4 linked regions of the Saccharomyces cerevisiae S288C genome follow. The gene in region 2 interacts genetically with the main gene of each other region. Each region holds a gene or a part of one and is shown on either strand. Other genes may lie near its edges.

Region 1 (4,575 bases), on a different chromosome or scaffold from region 2:
ATCGCTGCTGAATATATTATTCATTGATATTTTCTCTAATATTTCATCCAACTTCGCTGTGATATAGGGGAGAATAATTTTTTCCAAAAAAATAACACTCTTTTGCTGTTGATTCAGCTGCAAACCTTGGGGCCATTCACTCTGGCCCTTTGGATTTAAACATTGTGTTAAGGCAAGATTTCTGTCCCTCGAACTAAATAGTTGCAATCCATAAAACCGATCAATAAACGTAGAATTGTATGTCTTTAGATGATACCATTCAACAAACCCTTTTATCGCTTGAAACCACTCAAAAAAGTACTTGTTCAGCCGCAAAGTATACCTGTTAGGGAAGTTCGCCACTAAATGATTTGCCAGTAGATAACGGATGGATGCGGGCAGTAACGAATCGATTTCTTGTGATGACATTATCTCAAAGATAGTCGGATACAATGGTTCTAATCCCACCCCATTTCGACCGCTTGTTGAAGACCCTCGACTAGATTGTCCTGCAGACGGTAGGTTTGAATAAAAGCTCATCACTTGACGACTACCTTCCTTTCCTTTGCTTTATTTTCCCTGCTTATTCCCTTGCTTCTTCTGGAGCCTTCATGCAAAACCGTTTCTCTACCTAATGTGATTCTGCGGTAAGCATTGCTCTTAAGCATCTGAATGAGACGAAAGGATGACTCCACACTAAATTGTACCTCTCTTCTCCAGTGACTGAATTGGAGGTTACCATTGCCAGTGACGGTAATCGTCCACATCGATGATTTCTTAGTATAACCCACACACCTCTCAGACATAGAGGCCCCAGGTGCAACGTGATAGTATAACTGCCCGGAAGTAGAAATACAACTATTCCCTTCATATTAAAAGAATAAAACTTCATTTGAACTCTTTAAAATTTAGTGGTTCATTGTGGTCCTTGTGTAAACGGAAAAAAAGGATATTACGGTAGTGGGTAGTACATAACAAGAGATGACTATCCCTGGAAGATTTATGACAATTGATAAGGGCACTTTTGGTGAATACACTGCTAGCACCCGTTGGCCCATTATCATTCAGAATGCTATAGACGATTTAAGTAAGCATCAAGAAACGGAGAAGAGTAACGGCACTAAGTTCGAACAAGGTGAAGTTATCAAAAAGGAGCTCAAGGAATTCCGTCAGGAGATAATTGATCGTGTACCTTTGAGACCCTTTACTGAAGAAGAGATCAAAATTGCCAACGTCCCGCTTTCGTTCAATGAATATCTAAAGAAACACCCTGAAGTCAATTGGGGGGCTGTAGAGTGGCTGTTCTCGGAGGTTTACTTGTATAGAAGAGTAAATGTTCTTTTCCAACGCCAATGCGAATGGGCTAAATTTGACATATTCAACAGACTTAAACAGTCAACTTTTGAGTCCTCGTTTTATGGTGTCGTGGAATTGGCGTTAAGGTATGAAAATCTGTTACCACAGCTGAGAGAAATGAAGCAAAATCCAGGAAATGAGATTGACGATATATTGAAAGTTCTTTTTAAAGAGTTTATTGAGATTTCTTTGTGGGGCAATGCCACTGATTTATCTTTATTGACCAACGCTACGTTAGAAGACATTAAATCAATCCAAGGGGCGAAAGCAAGAGCTGCATCCGAGTCCAAGATTGTTGTTAATGACACGGAGAAAGCATGGGAGGTATTAACCAAAGCCAGGGCCGATGCCAATAGCAGAGAAATTCGTGTTGATTTTGTATTAGACAATTCTGGCTTTGAATTGTATGCTGACTTGATGTTGGCAGCTTTTCTGTTACAAAGTGGTTTGGCTACCAAATGTATTTTCCACGCTAAAGACATTCCATACATGGTTAGCGATGTTATGTTAAAAGATTTTGATATATTAGTTCATGACCTGAGAGATCGTGAGTTCTTCCCAAGTGGTGAACCCTCGACAAAGGAATCCAGAGCTCTTGATTTATTTGCTGGTGAAATGGAAAAGTTCGTCTCTAGCGGTAAGATAGAATTCCGCGAAGATTCTTTCTGGACCACGGAATTAGATTATTGGAATTTGGACGCAAACGAAACCAAATACCATGGATCCATTTTGCACAAAGATTTGCAAAAATCCAATTTGGTTATTTTTAAGGGTGATCTAAACTATAGAAAATTAACTGGCGACAGAAAATGGCCCCGCACCACTAAATGGGAAACGGCTATCGGACCTCTTGCTACGAATGGTATTACATCATTGAGCTTGAGAACCTGTAAAGCCGATGTACAAGTTGCTTTACCTGAAGGTCTAGACGCGAAATTAAGTCAAGAATGGGAAAAGGAAAATCCTGGCCGTGGTTCTTGGTGGTGTTGTAGCGGTAAATGGGCAGTCATTTGTTTCTGCTCTGGTATACATAAATAAGAATATGATAAGTTCTCTATATAACTTTACTTTATGACTTTCCCTATGAAATGTTCCAAAAAAGCACATAGATTTTTAGTACGTGCCTTTTATTTTATGTACTTCTGATAAAAAAAAGAAAGCTCCTAAGGACAAATTACAATCAATGGCGAAAGAAGAGGAAGAAAGTAATAACGAGGAGAGATCATAAACATGGCGTCAGTAACAGAACAATTCAACGATATTATTAGCTTATACTCAACAAAATTGGAACACACATCTTTGAGGCAAGATTCACCAGAGTACCAGGGATTATTACTTTCCACGATCAAGAAATTATTAAACTTAAAAACAGCAATTTTTGACAGGTTGGCATTGTTCAGTACTAATGAGACCATTGATGATGTGTCTACTGCTTCCATCAAATTTCTAGCAGTTGATTACTATTTAGGATTATTGATATCAAGACGACAGTCGAATGATTCGGATGTTGCTCAAAGGCAGTCTATGAAATTGATTTACCTGAAAAAAAGCGTTGAATCTTTCATTAATTTCCTGACACTATTGCAGGATTATAAGCTTCTAGATCCTTTGGTTGGTGAAAAACTAGGTAACTTCAAGGATCGTTATAACCCTCAGCTTAGCGAATTGTACGCGCAACCAAAAAATAACAAAGATTTATCTGGAGCACAGTTGAAGAGAAAAGAAAAGATTGAGCTATTCCAGCGCAATAAAGAAATTAGCACAAAACTGCACTGCTTGGAGTTGGAATTAAAAAACAACGACGAGGACCACGACCATGATGAATTACTAAGAGAACTATATTTGATGAGGTTACATCACTTTAGTCTTGATACGATTAACAACATTGAACAGAATTTATTTGAATGTGAAATGCTCTCTAATTTCCTCAAAAATTCCGTACATGAAGTCAAATCATCAGGTACTCAGATACGAAAAGAATCGAATGATGATGATTCCACTGGTTTTACCGATAAATTAGAGAATATAAATAAGCCATTGATAGACAAAAAAGGTCAAGTCTTGAGGAACTTCACGCTTGTCGACAAAAGGCAACAACTGCAACAAAAAGTGCGAGGATATGGTCAATATGGACCAACAATGTCGGTGGAGGAATTTTTAGATAAAGAGTTTGAAGAAGGTCGCGTTCTTCAAGGTGGCGAAGAACCAGAGCAAGCACCAGATGAAGAAAACATGGACTGGCAAGATAGAGAAACCTATAAAGCTCGTGAGTGGGACGAGTTCAAGGAAAGTCATGCTAAGGGAAGCGGAAATACCATGAATAGAGGATAGAAAAAAATACCTATATACGTACACATAAGTATCTATTAGACAGATTCATATATTATTTTTTTTTCTGCCTACATCAGTTATATTTTAATCTTGTGCAAAAGGACTTCGTTATTTTTATTCACGGTGATTAACACCGGCGTAGAATCTACAATCAGATTTGAAGAAAATACCACAGGCTCTTTTCTTTCCGAGAAGTTGATGTCTGCTACGACAAATTCGTCGATGGATGGTTTTAGGTTTTCTAAATTCCTAAACTCAAAGTCTCCATTACTATATGATACGGTGATTATGCTGTCGTTCAAATCGAGTTGTATTGGTAGTGTTGACGATGGAGTCAATTGTTCCTTCAGTACAACTTTTTTCTTATCAAAAGAATAAACCAATAATCTCTCATTGCTTAGCTGAATCAGTAGCTTAGAAGTTTTTCTATCCAAAAATAAATGGTAACCTTCTTCTTCTGGCTTACCCGATAATATTGTATCAATCTTCAAATCAATTTTTTGTAGAAGCTTACCCTCGAAATCATATATGGTAAGCTGGTATGGATTTGAAGACAGTAATATTAAGGATTTTTCTGTTATACCCAATATACAATCCAGAATGTTTGTGGAATCATTACTATCATCGTCATCATTATCATGTGTTATTTCATATGTTTCTTTTATGTTAATTGGGACATCCTCAGGAGCCTCTATATTGTCCAATTCCCAGATTCTAATTTGAGATTTATTCTTACTAGCTATCAACAACCATTTATTTTTGAAGTCTATATTAATGATATCACTAGACGAAAACGGCTGTTCTGAGTCTTGTAATAGGTCCACATCTGAGATCAAAGATGCGCTAGAAATAGAGAACAATTTCAAATGGAAACTCTTTTCAATAACAAGGAGTTTGGACGTCGAAACC
Region 2 (5,327 bases):
TTCGAGAAAGAAACTAGGTAGCTACAAAAGTATGGAAAAAAGGGTAATAAGCATTCCTTTTTTTTTAGCCGCAAAGCCTGCTTAACCATACATGAAGCACTTTAACATATAGATGCTGCTCTTCACTGTTACATTATATACAGAAAAAAGTGCTCGCAATAAGAAACAAACCTTCAGAAAAAGAAGCTTATCTTGAGCACAAGTCATTCACAGCAAAATTTCTTTTTTCAGTTGCTACATGTTAATTATGGAGTCCTGAGAGTAAGTAACTAGCCATTAGAATTAATTTCCTTCCCTTAAAAATGATAGGGAATGCACGACAATACGTTAATGTGCACCCAACTTGCACCACAGCATATTCTATCCTTTAGTTTGTACAATATTATTAGCTGTGAGAAAGCCCCTTCGTGTGGCACAAATTTATTAATCTCTGTCAAAATACTTCTACTTGTTTATACTGTATAAACGATTAAGTTCCATTATGAATTGTGAATTTAGAATCGGTTTGGTACATCGCTCAGTATAAGTGCTAAATAAAATTATCAAGATTTATATTTCATGGTATATCGGCGTCAGGATATTGCTTTCTCCAATATTCCTGTTGTGCTTGTTTCTCAACTTCTACTGCTTTAACAAAGTATGCTTCGAATATTGGGTCAGAACTGAAACTAAAGCATTTTATTACCTCATTTGAAGCCTCATTTGCTGGTGCATCTATCTGCGTACTTGTGGCGTCCTTTACCGATGAATTTACATTCACACCTGGGGGTTTTTCTTTCACAAGAAATCTGAAGAATTTGTAGCATCTTTCACTACTATAAAAGTAATAGCGAGTACTCCATAAACCATTATCAAGTAAATATTGATTCATATTGTCTGTGATTGCTCTCCATTCTTTTCCCTTTACCGCTGGCCTGTGGGTGATAACTTCCAGCAAAAGCTTAATTCTGAAACCCTCATCCGAGATATACACATTAAACGGAATCAACGTAGACAAAAACAAAATAGAAGTGACGAAAATTGAAAAACCAAAAACGACATCACAAGCTTTAACATTATGAAAGATCACAACTATTAAAATTGAAACTGAAAGTGCCAAGAAGGAAAATATCATCGGTTTGTAATGAGCCATCTCGTACAGCAAGTAGGTCATATATGATTTAAAGGTGTCTTCAGGTAAAGTGATATTTTCTGCGGATGATAACACATTTTGTTCCCCTAATGTATCCAATTTGACATCGTCATTATTACTGTTGTTGTCTAAATGAGGCTGCATGCAGATACGGAGTTTTGTTTCTTGTCTTGATATGGTATAGACAACCGACTGGTGTATATAAACAGAACACAGACTTACATTTTCAGGTTCGAAGTTTTATTGAAGTTCATAAACTCTTTTTAAATTATTTTGTAAACTTGAGCTATTCAAGCAGTATTCTTATTTAACCTAAGCATAGCCCCGGATACAAGGCGTATAATACCCAACTAACTTAAAATGAGAGCCACTTACTGAACACCTTGGAAGGTCATTGTTTGGTTGAAAGGAATATTATTAACTAAGCCTTAGAACAAGGCGTCACCTAAATGATAATGGCTTTTCTTCTGGGCGCGGTCGGGGCTTCGACTCATTTGATACTAGGTTAATTACCCTTTTACGCATACCTAAATATTTGTAACTTTAGATCTGTCCACTAAAAGCGTTTCGATGACTTAGTTGTGCTACTAATAGTAAACTCTTTGTGCAGGCAAATTATATCATCGCTGGCTAGACTTTTTGTCAAAAGTTCTGTTTATACAGTGGGCAGCTAGAGTGCTTAATAACAAAGATATTGTCCTTTAGACTTACACAAGAGCAGAAGCAAAGATAAGCACTGTTTGTTCTGCTTCCATCGTTTTTGCTGAAAATTTTGCATGCATATCCAACCAATATTTAACACCTGGATTATCTCGGTTCAAAGACTACAATAAACGCCCCAATAATTGTGATGCTTTTTTCAATCCAGCCCGCACAAATGAATACCGCTGCTATTGGATGCCATCTTCAGATGTACGTCCAAACTGTGGTTGGTATAGTTTTTAGAACCTCGTGGTGAGGAGTGTTCCATTCTTTCAAAGGCAATGAGAAAAAAAAACAGTTGCGATATTAGTCAACTGTTTTGCATGGTTTCTTTGACGCAGTTGTAAAATCATACTCGAAGGGTAGTTGGAAAATTTTCAACATATATTAGTAATACTTTTTCTGTAAAAGTGACACAAGATAAAATGACTCCATGGCCAAGTTGGTTAAGGCGTGCGACTGTTAATCGCAAGATCGTGAGTTCAACCCTCACTGGGGTCGTTAATTTTTCTTTTCTTTTTTTTTTTTTATCTCCGACGGAGAAAAAATTTTTTCTCAACCCCCGGCATGGCGAATGGAAAAATCACCTGGCACGTCATTTCATCAAATCAACATCGGCCTCCCCGTGCTAATATGTTAACAGGCCGAGCTCTTGCCATCTCACGCATTTTCCGCTATACAAATAGTATATATAATATTACAGCTTTTAAAGAGGGAAGAGGAAACGGAGAAGAAAATATACTACTTTATAGAGATATTCGGCAATTTTTTTTAGCAAAAGTTTATTAAACCCTAATATAGACCTTTACTTGGAGTTTCGATTTTAAGAATTTTTTATCATTTTTTTTTTTTGACGATTTCCTGTCGGTTTCGTTATAACCTGTTGTGTTGTTGTTGTTGTTGTTATTGCTGGGTTGTTGTTATTCACTTTAACATTATCGAATAAAATTTGGACTTTCAAAGTCCTGTTCAATAAGTTGTACTAAGCCTTTAAGCGTTTTTAAGTTACAAATAAAAACTGGAAAGCTTAAGGTAGCTTTCTAATATTAGGCTCTCAACCTTTTTTTACTCTCCATTTACCGCTAGATATTAACTAGTAGTAAGTATTGTGACTACTATTCCCTGTAATCAAAAAAAAAGTAATCAGATTTTATTTTATTTCGACATTACCCCTCAAATATATGACTGGTATGAATGATAATAATGCCGCTATTCCTCAGCAAACTCCAAGGAAACATGCGCTATCTTCTAAAGTTATGCAACTTTTTAGAAGCGGTTCAAGATCATCTAGGCAGGGAAAGGCCTCATCGAATATCCAGCCACCTTCTAATATAAACACAAACGTTCCATCGGCGTCTAAATCAGCCAAATTTGGTTTACATACCCCAACCACTGCTACTCCTAGGGTAGTTTCTAATCCTTCTAATACTGCAGGTGTGAGTAAACCGGGCATGTATATGCCCGAATATTACCAGTCGGCATCACCATCGCACTCTAGTTCATCCGCATCATTAAACAACCATATTGATATTAACACCTCTAAGTCATCATCAGCTGCTTCTTTAACTTCGTCAGTATCAGCTTTATCCTTATCACCCACATCAGCCATAAATATTAGCTCCAAAAGTTTGAGCCCAAAGTTCTCTCATCATAGTAACAGCAATACTGCTATTACACCCGCGCCTACTCCCACTGCTTCAAATATTAATAATGTAAATAAGATAACCAATACAAGTGCACCTATTTGTGGGAGGTTTCTTGTGCATAAAGATGGTACCCATGAACATCACTTAAAAAATGCTAAGAGACAAGAAAAGCTAAGCACAATGATTAAAAACATGGTTGGTGCGAGCAAATTACGTGGTGAGGCAAAATCTGCTGTCCCTGATATAATAATGGATCCAAAGACGACTTTAAAATCCAACAAGAATCCTCCTACTCTTTTTGCAGGCTTCATGAAGCAGGTCGTGGATATGGATGATAAATATCCAGAAGGCGCTCCCACAAGTGGCGCTTTAAATTGTCCTGAAAGGGATATATACAGGTCAGATCAAAAAGATTCCAAAAATAATACGCATAATATCACTACTACTAAAAAAGATAGGCAATGTTTTGCCGAAAAGTATGGTCGCTGTCAAGAAGTCCTTGGTAAAGGTGCTTTTGGTGTAGTAAGAATATGTCAAAAGAAAAATGTTTCTTCTCAAGATGGTAATAAAAGTGAAAAGCTTTATGCAGTGAAAGAGTTCAAGCGTAGAACATCCGAATCAGCAGAAAAGTATTCTAAGAGGTTGACTTCTGAATTTTGCATTTCTTCTTCATTACACCATACAAATATTGTTACTACACTAGATCTTTTCCAAGATGCCAAAGGCGAGTACTGTGAAGTAATGGAATATTGTGCAGGTGGCGATCTATTCACTTTGGTCGTTGCCGCCGGAAAATTAGAATATATGGAAGCAGATTGTTTCTTCAAGCAGCTTATTAGAGGTGTTGTTTATATGCATGAAATGGGTGTTTGTCATAGAGATTTGAAGCCTGAGAACTTACTGCTTACGCACGATGGTGTGCTAAAAATTACAGACTTTGGTAACAGCGAATGTTTCAAGATGGCATGGGAAAAAAATATTCACCTTAGTGGAGGCGTTTGCGGTTCATCGCCGTACATCGCCCCAGAGGAATATATCAAAGAAGAGTTTGATCCAAGACCCGTAGATATATGGGCATGTGGTGTCATTTATATGGCAATGAGAACTGGTAGACAATTGTGGAGTTCTGCTGAAAAAGACGATCCATTTTATATGAATTATTTAAAAGGACGTAAGGAAAAGGGAGGCTATGAGCCAATCGAAAGTTTAAAAAGAGCCAGGTGTAGGAATGTTATATATTCGATGTTAGATCCCGTTCCGTACAGAAGAATTAACGGGAAACAAATTTTGAACAGTGAATGGGGAAGGGAGATAAAATGCTGCCATAATGGGCGCGCATTGAAATAAACGAGTACTTCACTTTCAAATATCACGATATTTTGGAACAATTCGGTATTTTTTACTTAATCTAGTACACTAAGGAATGCTTTGTTATCCGGCATTCGTATCTTATTCCTCGCTTCTATTGTTCTACTTTTATATCCCGTTTGGCTGATTACGGATCACGTTCAAATTGGTAAATCCCATTAATTAAAAAAGAATTGTAACCTTATTTAAAAAAAAAAATAGTACATAACAATAAAAAAAAAAAAGATAATAATTTTGAATTTATTGCTAGACATTCTTACGTTTATTGTGTTCATGTTAACAAAAACACATGCCCGCGGTTATTATCGCTTTTTAATTGCTTTCTTAAAAAGAGTCGGTTGGTCAGATAGAGCAGATAGTAAATTATAGTGCTATTTAGGTCTGTTAATTTAAATGAAAGAAACATAAATGACCGTAAAAAACTAAAGGCAAAAGCATTAATTTATTTTATCCCGAGCGCACAAATATCTAGGCTTGTC
Region 3 (5,129 bases), on a different chromosome or scaffold from region 2:
TAGGTAATAAGGTGACAAGTAGCAAGTGAAAAGTACCGCTTACGAAGAATACTTTAATTCAACGTAGATACTGCAAAATATTCAAGTCATTATTTTTGGCCCTTAACTTGCCTTTCCAGTTCTTAGATTCATTCATATGCTAGCTAGCAACAACGGTCACTTTGGGTTGCATTTCACAATCTCATTCGGCTAAGATCTCGGCTAACCAAAAGTTGGACTTCAGGGGTATTAGCGAAATAAGGAGATCTTTTTTAGGTTTATTCCTTGTTTTTAGTTTCATTTTGCTTAATAAAAAGGAAAATGGATATATCGATTTTCTGCATACCCTGTTACATTTGATATAAATACAGCGGGACCTACCAAATATACTTTCATTTTGCTTGTGTTTTATAGATATTTTATTTTTTTTTCCAGGCAGTCAATGACACATTGTTAACTGAAAGTGTTCTGTTATTGTTTTAATTCTAAAAAAATAAAGTAAGGGAAAAAGAGAACGGACTCATTGACAGTTGTAAAGCATGGAGTCCAATAAACAACCACGTAAAATCCAATTATATACGAAAGAGTTTTATGCCACATGTACCTTAGGTGGTATAATTGCGTGCGGTCCAACACATTCTTCGATCACTCCACTAGATCTTGTCAAATGTAGGCTACAGGTCAATCCCAAGTTGTATACTTCAAACTTACAAGGGTTCCGTAAGATTATAGCTAATGAAGGCTGGAAGAAAGTATACACTGGGTTTGGTGCTACATTCGTCGGATATTCGCTACAAGGTGCAGGTAAGTATGGTGGTTATGAGTATTTCAAGCATTTGTATTCTAGTTGGTTAAGTCCTGGTGTCACTGTGTACTTGATGGCCTCAGCGACCGCTGAATTCCTCGCTGATATCATGTTGTGCCCATTTGAAGCTATTAAAGTGAAACAGCAGACTACTATGCCGCCCTTTTGCAATAACGTTGTTGATGGATGGAAAAAAATGTATGCAGAAAGTGGAGGTATGAAAGCATTTTATAAAGGTATTGTTCCCCTATGGTGCAGACAGATTCCTTACACAATGTGTAAGTTTACCTCATTCGAAAAAATTGTTCAAAAAATATACAGTGTTTTACCTAAAAAGAAAGAAGAAATGAACGCATTACAGCAAATATCAGTCAGTTTTGTAGGTGGTTATCTGGCAGGTATATTATGTGCTGCAGTCTCACATCCTGCAGACGTTATGGTTTCCAAGATCAATAGCGAAAGAAAGGCCAACGAGTCCATGTCTGTAGCCTCTAAAAGAATATATCAAAAAATTGGCTTTACTGGGTTGTGGAATGGGTTAATGGTGAGAATTGTCATGATCGGTACTTTGACAAGTTTCCAATGGCTAATTTACGATTCGTTCAAGGCTTATGTAGGCTTACCAACCACCGGTTAGCTGATCGATTCAATCGGCAAGGTTTATCGTAAACACTCTGTGCTAGAGGAATATTGTATACACAGGATTTCATAAAGTTAGTAAATGACCGGCATTTATAGTTTGTTCTTCTTTGCATATGTCTTAATAAATATTCGTCCTACAATTTCTTTTCATACTAAGAGTTTTGTTATGATTGCCAAATTTCTCAAGCCAAGAACAGGCCCAGGAAAACTTTGAAAGTGCCATATCAGAAACACATTTATAAGGTAGTTTCGATATACGGCAATACTCGATGCATGCCCAAACTTGCCAGCCGCTCGCGATTGAATCTTCTACAATTTTTAGGTGAACATATTCAGAGGCTGAGGCCTTATTTGATAGTAACATCAAATATCACTCCCACAATTTACAATCACTGTCATTGGTCTCACAGGATCCTTTTCTTTCTAGAACTCCCCTAATATCAACTTTTTACTCTACTGTGGCTCTAACCACGTGTATTTTTCAGGCCCATGACTCACCTTTTCTTTCTTTTTCACTAGCAAACGAAAATTTCATCATCACTTTTTTTTTTTTTCACTTTCCGTACGCAGTCTTCTCCAGAGATTCTTTTAGCTTCGAAGAAATAATGTATAATATCCATATATAAGAATACTGCTGGATAATTATTTTATTTCTATTTTAACAGTGCTCTACTCATTGAAGGATATTTGTGTAGCCAATACTCTCTCCATCGCTTAAGCTCACATAGCTATCGCATTTTATCACAGAAGCTTTCATTTTTTTTAACTTTTACATGCCAATGGATTTCCAACCTACATCAAGTCATTCGAACTGGGTCGTGCAAAAGTTCGGTGGTACATCTGTCGGTAAATTTCCCGTCCAAATAGTGGATGACATTGTGAAGCACTATTCTAAACCTGACGGCCCAAACAATAATGTCGCTGTCGTTTGTTCCGCCCGTTCTTCATACACCAAGGCTGAAGGTACCACTTCTCGTCTTTTGAAATGTTGTGATTTGGCTTCGCAAGAATCTGAATTTCAAGACATTATCGAAGTTATCAGACAAGACCATATCGATAATGCCGACCGCTTCATTCTCAATCCTGCCTTGCAAGCCAAGTTAGTGGATGATACCAATAAAGAACTTGAACTGGTCAAGAAATATTTAAATGCTTCAAAAGTTTTGGGTGAAGTGAGTTCACGTACAGTAGATCTGGTGATGTCATGTGGTGAGAAGTTGAGTTGTTTGTTCATGACTGCTTTATGTAATGACCGTGGCTGTAAGGCCAAATATGTGGATTTGAGCCACATTGTTCCCTCTGATTTCAGTGCCAGCGCTTTGGATAACAGTTTCTACACTTTCCTGGTTCAAGCATTGAAAGAAAAATTGGCCCCCTTTGTAAGTGCTAAAGAGCGTATCGTTCCAGTCTTTACAGGGTTTTTTGGTTTAGTTCCAACTGGTCTTCTGAATGGTGTTGGTCGTGGCTATACCGATTTATGTGCCGCTTTGATAGCAGTTGCTGTAAATGCTGATGAACTACAAGTTTGGAAGGAAGTTGATGGTATATTTACTGCTGATCCTCGTAAGGTTCCTGAAGCACGTTTGCTAGACAGTGTTACTCCAGAAGAAGCTTCTGAATTAACATATTATGGTTCCGAAGTTATACATCCTTTTACGATGGAACAAGTTATTAGGGCTAAGATTCCTATTAGAATCAAGAATGTTCAAAATCCATTAGGTAACGGTACCATTATCTACCCAGATAATGTAGCAAAGAAGGGTGAATCTACTCCACCACATCCTCCTGAGAACTTATCCTCATCTTTCTATGAAAAGAGAAAGAGAGGTGCCACTGCTATCACCACCAAAAATGACATTTTCGTCATCAACATTCATTCCAATAAGAAAACCCTATCCCATGGTTTCCTAGCTCAAATATTTACCATCCTGGATAAGTACAAGTTAGTCGTAGATTTAATATCTACTTCTGAAGTTCATGTTTCGATGGCTTTGCCCATTCCAGATGCAGACTCATTAAAATCTCTGAGACAAGCTGAGGAAAAATTGAGAATTTTAGGTTCTGTTGATATCACAAAGAAGTTGTCTATTGTTTCATTAGTTGGTAAACATATGAAACAATACATCGGCATTGCTGGTACCATGTTTACTACTCTTGCTGAAGAAGGCATCAACATTGAAATGATTTCTCAAGGGGCAAATGAAATAAACATATCCTGCGTTATCAATGAATCTGACTCCATAAAAGCGCTACAATGTATTCATGCCAAGTTACTAAGTGAGCGGACAAATACTTCAAACCAATTTGAACATGCCATTGATGAACGTTTAGAACAATTGAAAAGACTTGGAATTTAAATCCACCTTTCTTCTTCACTTTAATGATAGAATATTAATTTTCCCTTTATATATATATATATATATATATACGCGCACATATATTTACATATATATTAATGTTTTGTAACCTATATTGGGGCGATTATTCCCTAAATGTAATGTCAGGGTTATACTGTATCAATTGCTAAAGTAGATCTCATTCATCGAGAGCATAGGATGAAATAAAAGATACAAGAACGTGGCGGACAAGAAGAAATTTTACGAAATAAGATCGGCTAAAGCTTTCGCTAAATGCTTCTTTGAAGTGAAATTTAACGGCTTGTACTTAACTTCAGGTTTTATAACGTATGCATGAAGTGATTGAATTGCGCAATTAGTGGTCCTGGAAAGCAAATCCCCATCACTGACATCACTAGTGATTTTATTTTTATCAAGCGCAAGATACTCGCATAATTTACCCATCACTTGATCAAACTTCGGGAAGGTAAATCTTCTAGGAACCTTTGTTAACTTTTCAATTTCCACAATTTTAAGGTGTGTCTCCAAATCACGGATGGTTAAAAAGTTGCCTCCAAATACCAAAGAGTCTACTGGTGTATAAACTGCATGAATATATCCAGCTGGAATCATAAACAAATCACCAGCATCTAATTCCATCGCAATACCATCCTCAAGAATATCACCGAGGAAAACACTATTTTGGTCTTCTTTTAAAGACCACTCAATATACTTATCTATGTTTGATTGGGTAGGTGGAAATAATAAAAACTTCTTCTGTCCTGAGATAACGTTATAATAAACAGAGGTACCGGCAAAATCCAAATGAAAATCCGTATAAGCATCCTTTACAGACATCAAAATATATTTGGTCACTTTTGGCTTGGGGTCATTCTCCTCCGCCTTCTCCCCATTGACTTTTTCTAAATGTCCATTGAAACTCCAAATTTTATCAACAAGATCATTCTGCCTAACTGCAGTGGGCCTCTCTAGTTCTAATCCCTCAATATTAGAGACTTCTAATGATATAACATTCCTTATTCGATCCCTCCTGTCTGGTTCAGTATTTGTAAAATATTCATTCCAAGATCCCAAGTTCCAATTTTCATTCATTTGTGATTGAACGTCCATTACATCAACATGATAATCCTCGCCTATCATTTCGGTGATATAATTAACTGTGAGGCATCCATTGTCTGTGCCCACATTCGGTACATATACTCCGCTATTCAGTGGATCGATGATCTTGTACGGCACATCTATATTATCAAACTTTTCAGCAAAGTCAGCGGCGTTTATAATATTTGAGCCATTTTTCCATTTTTCAAAAGATTTCATGAAACTCTCCTTATGAGGGTGATTCATTT
Region 4 (5,004 bases), on a different chromosome or scaffold from region 2:
TGACAATCTCTTATCTTATAGTCCTTTTGATGACGACAGCGATTCAAAAGGCAATCCGAAAGAAAGGCTCGGTATAACGGAACCAATAATTATTGAAACAAAATTGAAGTTCCCCAAATACGAAGATTTGGATAAAAGAACCGCAAAGATAATACCACCTTATGGTATCGATGCATACACGAGCATCCCCAATCCCGAACATGCCGTAGCCAATGGACCCTCACACCGTCGTCCCAGTGTAATAGGCTTTTTATCCGGTCATAAAGGCTCGAAAAGTCATGAAGAAAATGAAAAACCTGTTTATGATCCAAAATTCCATCAAACAATAATCAAATCCAATTCTGGTTTGCCCGTGAAAACACATACCAGATTAAACACACCGAAAAGAGGCTTGTACTTGGATAGTTTACACTTCAGTAATGTTTACTGTAGACATAAGCTGGAAATTATGCTACGAATCAGTAAACCTGATCCTGAGTGTCCGTCCAAATTAAGACATTATGAGGTTCTAATCGATACGCCCATATTCCTGGTGTCTGAACAGTGCAACAGTGGTAATATGGAGTTACCCACTTATGATATGGCCACAATGGAAGGCAAAGGCAACCAGGTTCCTCTAAGTATGAACAGCGACTTTTTTGGTAACACATGTCCACCTCCGCCAACTTTTGAAGAAGCCATATCCGTTCCAGCTTCTCCCATTGTCTCACCGATGGGATCACCTAATATCATGGCCTCGTATGACCCTGATTTACTATCTATTCAACAATTGAACTTATCAAGAACTACGTCAGTTAGTGGGCCATCCGGATACAGCGATGATGCCGGTGTGCCAAATGTTAATCGGAACAGTATTTCAAATGCCAATGCCATGAACGGCAGTATTTCGAATTCCGCATTTGTTTCGGGCAATAGTGGCCAAGGTGTTGCTAGAGCAAGAGCAACGTCAGTGAATGACAGGTCAAGATTCAATAATCTCGATAAATTATTGAGCACTCCATCGCCCGTCAATAGATCTCACAATTCATCACCAACAAATGGCTTATCACAAGCAAATGGTACTGTGAGGATTCCAAACGCTACCACTGAAAACTCTAAGGACAAACAGAACGAATTTTTCAAAAAGGGTTACACTTTAGCGAATGTAAAAGATGATGAAGAACAAGAAGGAATAGTAAGTTCGAGCTCCGCAGATTCGCTACTCTCTCATGGTAACGAGCCTCCGCGTTATGACGAAATAGTGCCTTTGATGAGTGATGAAGAATGAATTTTTTCGTTTTTTATTTTTTTTTGAATTATTCTACGATAATTATATATATAGAGCCACTGCATGTTTTACTCCCTTTTTGTTGACTACATGCTATTTAATTAGGTTAGGTTATAAATCTCTTTATTATTGTTTCTTATAACATAAACATTATTTTTCTTCTTCAACTAATCAATTCAATATGCACTATGAATGATAATTCAGATGCGCAGAACACCTCTTGCCGAATTGACACCAGCAGAGCTTAACATCCTCAAACCTGTTGCACCGAATGGGAAATATGAAATAGCATAATAAATGACGGCAACTAATTCAAGAAGAGCACATGTAATAGTCAGCACCGTGTTCTTGGAAAAGGCTGCGAAATAAATCGTCATGAAGCATGTGGCGAAAAAGAACATCGAAAAAGGCAGCCTTTCCCTTGCAGTCAAATGTTTTAAGTACGCGAGTGGTCCCATAAGTACCCCAAACGCAAGAACAAATAGTAGGGACCCCATTGTCCATAGTAAACCAAACTTTCTTGGTTTAGCGGCTAGAACGGGGAAAAGGAAAGTACAAAGAGTGAAACAGGCTGTTGCACCCAAAAGAAAACAGACAAAAAGTACCATTCTTTCCGTTCTTGACAATTGGAACCACGACGGCTCCTGGTCTTGCACCAAGTCCTGTCTAGATACAGGCAACGTCTGATATATATCCTGGGCCCTGGTATTGAGAGAATCCGCCCAGCTTGAGAACAATGTCTTCGCAGATTCATTAAAACCCTGCGAGTTCTGCTGTCTTGTTTGATTCCATCGATTCAATGAGTCACGGAGACTATTGACCTGGTCAGAAGGTGGTTCCTCGCTCATATTCTCCACACTTGTTCTTTTTTTTTACCAGCAAAAAAAAAAAACGCAACTGCAGACAATACAGGTAATCTAAGTCCTACTCTAAACTACCGAACGCAATTAGAATGCAAATTTATTCAATCTTCTTCCTATTTCAGTATAGTACAAGTCTTGACCAATACTCCCTCTTCATTACAATCGCCTTTTGCCGGGTCACGATTGCGGGCCGTTCCGCGGGATGTGACTCTTCGCAAGTTACTTTTGAAATAATAAAGCCATGGTGATTAGAAAAGCCTTCTTATGAGCAACAGAAACTAACAATTGTACTACTCGGTCCGGACAGTAGGATCTCCAATATTACTGCAGGTTAGTACATTATTTTTTACTCGCAGTTGCTATTTTGGCTAGAGGCTGCACGGAATCATCAAGGAATTTTTCACAATCCGAATTTCTGTCTTACGTGAGCATATATAAGATAACAAAAACGACATTACTGCATTCACATTACTTAGTTGACAAGTATCCTTTAATAGAATACTCTTATTTTTTGTCAGGCGAACCTACTTCTTAAATAAGTGAAGAATGATGAACAATAACGAAAGTGAGGCTGAGAACCAACGTCTACTGGACGAATTAATGAACCAGACAAAAGTCCTCCAGGAAACTTTAGATTTTTCGTTAGTGACACCCACTCCACACCACAATGATGATTACAAGATACACGGAAGTGCCTACCCAGGTGGTGAGACTCCTGCCCAACAGCATGAAAAACTCTCATACATCAATACGCACAACTCTAACGATAATAATAACTTAATGGGCAGTCAAGCGAGGTCCAATTCACAAACTCCTACAGCTTCGACCATATATGAGGAAGCAGAATCGCAATCGTCTTACCTGGATGATATGTTTAGAACAAGCCAAGGCGGTAGACCTGTCACTCAAAATTCCATATCTTCCATAGGGCAGGGTCCCTTGAGATCATCTTATTCTATGGCTTACGACTCACCTGTGGATAGAGCAATGAATACTCCATTACAGCAACAAGAAGGCTTAAAAGCTGAGTTACCACATGACTTTTTATTTCAGCATGGCACCGATGACACAATGTATAACTTAACTGATGATTTGAGCTCCTCTTTATCTTCTAGCATCAATTCTGATATGATGACACCAAACACATATTCATCATCATTTTCTTATAATCCACAAAGCTTGGGCCCAGCATCCGTATCTTCCACATATTCCCCAAAGGTAAGATCACCATCATCGTCATTTCGTGCAGGAAGTTTCCTTTCATCTTCTTTTAGGCATGGTAGCATAAACACACCCAGAACAAGACACACTTCAATAAGTAGCAATATGACTGAAAATATAGGACCTGGAAGTGTTCCAAAGATTTTAGGCGGGTTAACTTCTGATGAGAAACTGAGGCGCAAAAGAGAGTTTCATAATGCCGTCGAAAGGAGAAGAAGAGAATTAATAAAGCAAAAGATAAAAGAACTCGGCCAGTTGGTTCCACCATCTTTATTGAATTACGATGACCTAGGTAAACAAATCAAACCAAATAAGGGTATCATTTTGGATAGAACGGTCGAATATTTACAATACCTGGCCGAAATTTTAGAAATACAAGCACGAAAAAAGAAGGCGTTATTGGCGAAGATAAAAGAATTGGAAGAGAAGAAAAGTTCTGTCGCAGCATTATCTCCTTTTACCAATAACCACCATGCCAGTTCGGGGCAAAATAATAGCGAGAATAGTGAGGAAAGAATTATAGATATTAGATCTGTCCCAAATGCTTTGATGAATGAACAAAATAGTAAGGCTGAATTGCACAATTGGGAGCCACCGTTATATGATTCGGTCGGTAACCACAATCATGCTGGCACTATGGAGAGTCATCCACATACAAACATTCATGAAGAATTAAAGGAGTTCTTATCAGGCGATTTGATTGAAGCCGAAGATAATGCAAAATTAATGTTTGGAGATGACAACTCTAATCCAGCTGACTATCTTTTAGAATTTGGTTCGGGGTAGTTTATGGTCTTATTAGCGGGAAAAAATTAAATTTGAAAAAGGTCAGGTAAGCAAAAGCAGTAAAACTTCAATATCTATGTTTGTTCCTTCTATTGGGAGAACGTTAATCGCTTCCGTACTCGCAAGATAATGTAATGAAAAAATTAGGAATTGCAACAAAATAAAGCGGAATATTAGTAACGCTTACATGCAACGTTTTGAAAAGAGTGGAAGAGATAGGCAAGCAGAATTATATGTAACAAAATCTAAAATTATTCACTATTATTCTTGGTTATGTCTAATACTTTGGATATATTAATTCTTTAGAATTTTATGTATTCTAAATGCAATTATGTCAATAAAACCCATGTAATTTTCTTTCATGATATGATTTAAATGCATTAGTATTATCAGGCATATTGTTATATATGAAGAAGGTTAGTTATAAGTAGTGTATAATATATACATGTGCTGCCCGCAATTGGGTATGATATGATTTTTAGTGCTTTATAATTTGGCGTCGCAAGAATGTAGATCACTTGTATCAATGGAAAGCTTACTTGGGTAACTCATTTATTGAGAAAATCAATGGATGTCGAATTTATATAGAGTAGAGCCAACACTTCATGATTGGAAAGCATATACCAAACGGTATACCACTGATAATATGAATGCAGAAGACTAATGCGCTACACATCATACTTTACGGCGATGATATATTTCAAGATAGCATAAGCTCTATGGTTATTCTGATGTTACTGGTAGTCGTAAGTGCAGTATCACGAACGTATAGAAGAATAAACATGGGTCTCATCAAAAAAGTGACCCATTGGTCATATGATAATTTGATTGATTATCTTTCAGTGAACCCTACAAGAGATGAAGTGA

Evidence for each region.
Region 1: mutations in SAT4 (region 2) and TAP42 together harm fitness more than expected from each alone (negative genetic interaction), as found in Saccharomyces cerevisiae (3 studies listed by BioGRID).
Region 3: mutations in SAT4 (region 2) and HOM3 together harm fitness more than expected from each alone (negative genetic interaction), as found in Saccharomyces cerevisiae (3 studies listed by BioGRID).
Region 4: mutations in SAT4 (region 2) and RTG3 together harm fitness more than expected from each alone (negative genetic interaction), as found in Saccharomyces cerevisiae (2 studies listed by BioGRID).

The regions. Positions count from the first base shown.
Region 1 is NC_001145.3:324,917-329,491, forward strand, and holds TAP42 (Tap42p), read left to right. Parts: upstream 1-2,565; coding exon 2,566-3,666; downstream 3,667-4,575. Other genes in the region: PEX12 (ubiquitin-protein ligase peroxin 12), read right to left, coding at 1-519; YMR027W (putative methyltransferase), read left to right, coding at 961-2,373; FAR8 (Far8p), read right to left, coding at 3,744-4,575. UniProt on the Saccharomyces cerevisiae protein: Involved in negative regulation of the TOR signaling pathway in response to type of available nitrogen source. Inhibitor of PP2A phosphatase SIT4, which results in inhibition of nuclear export of MSN2, due to lack of dephosphorylation by SIT4.
Region 2 is NC_001135.5:125,455-130,781, forward strand, and holds SAT4 (serine/threonine protein kinase SAT4), read left to right. Parts: upstream 1-3,015; coding exon 3,016-4,827; downstream 4,828-5,327. Other genes in the region: DFP3 (DUP240 family protein), read right to left, coding at 557-1,276; amphiphysin-like protein RVS161, read right to left, coding at 5,291-5,327. UniProt on the Saccharomyces cerevisiae protein: Promotes K(+) uptake, by the potassium transporter TRK1-TRK2, which leads to the subsequent cellular resistance to toxic cations such as Na(+), Li(+) and Ca(2+).
Region 3 is NC_001137.3:255,029-260,157, reverse strand, and holds HOM3 (aspartate kinase), read left to right. Parts: upstream 1-2,199; coding exon 2,200-3,783; downstream 3,784-5,129. Other genes in the region: PIC2 (Cu/Pi carrier), read left to right, coding at 519-1,421; JHD1 ([Histone H3]-lysine-36 demethylase), read right to left, coding at 4,024-5,129. UniProt on the Saccharomyces cerevisiae protein: Phosphorylates aspartate, the first step in the biosynthesis of amino acids that derive from aspartate (the aspartate family of amino acids), including methioinine and threonine, the latter of which is a precursor to isoleucine.
Region 4 is NC_001134.8:21,209-26,212, reverse strand, and holds RTG3 (Rtg3p), read left to right. Parts: upstream 1-2,676; coding exon 2,677-4,137; downstream 4,138-5,004. Other genes in the region: ECM21 (Ecm21p), read left to right, coding at 1-1,267; SFT2 (Sft2p), read right to left, coding at 1,468-2,115; SEA4 (Sea4p), read left to right, coding at 4,920-5,004. UniProt on the Saccharomyces cerevisiae protein: Transcription factor that regulates CIT2 gene expression. Binds to two identical sites oriented as inverted repeats 28 bp apart in a regulatory upstream activation sequence element (UASR) in the CIT2 promoter. The core binding site is 5'-GGTCAC-3'.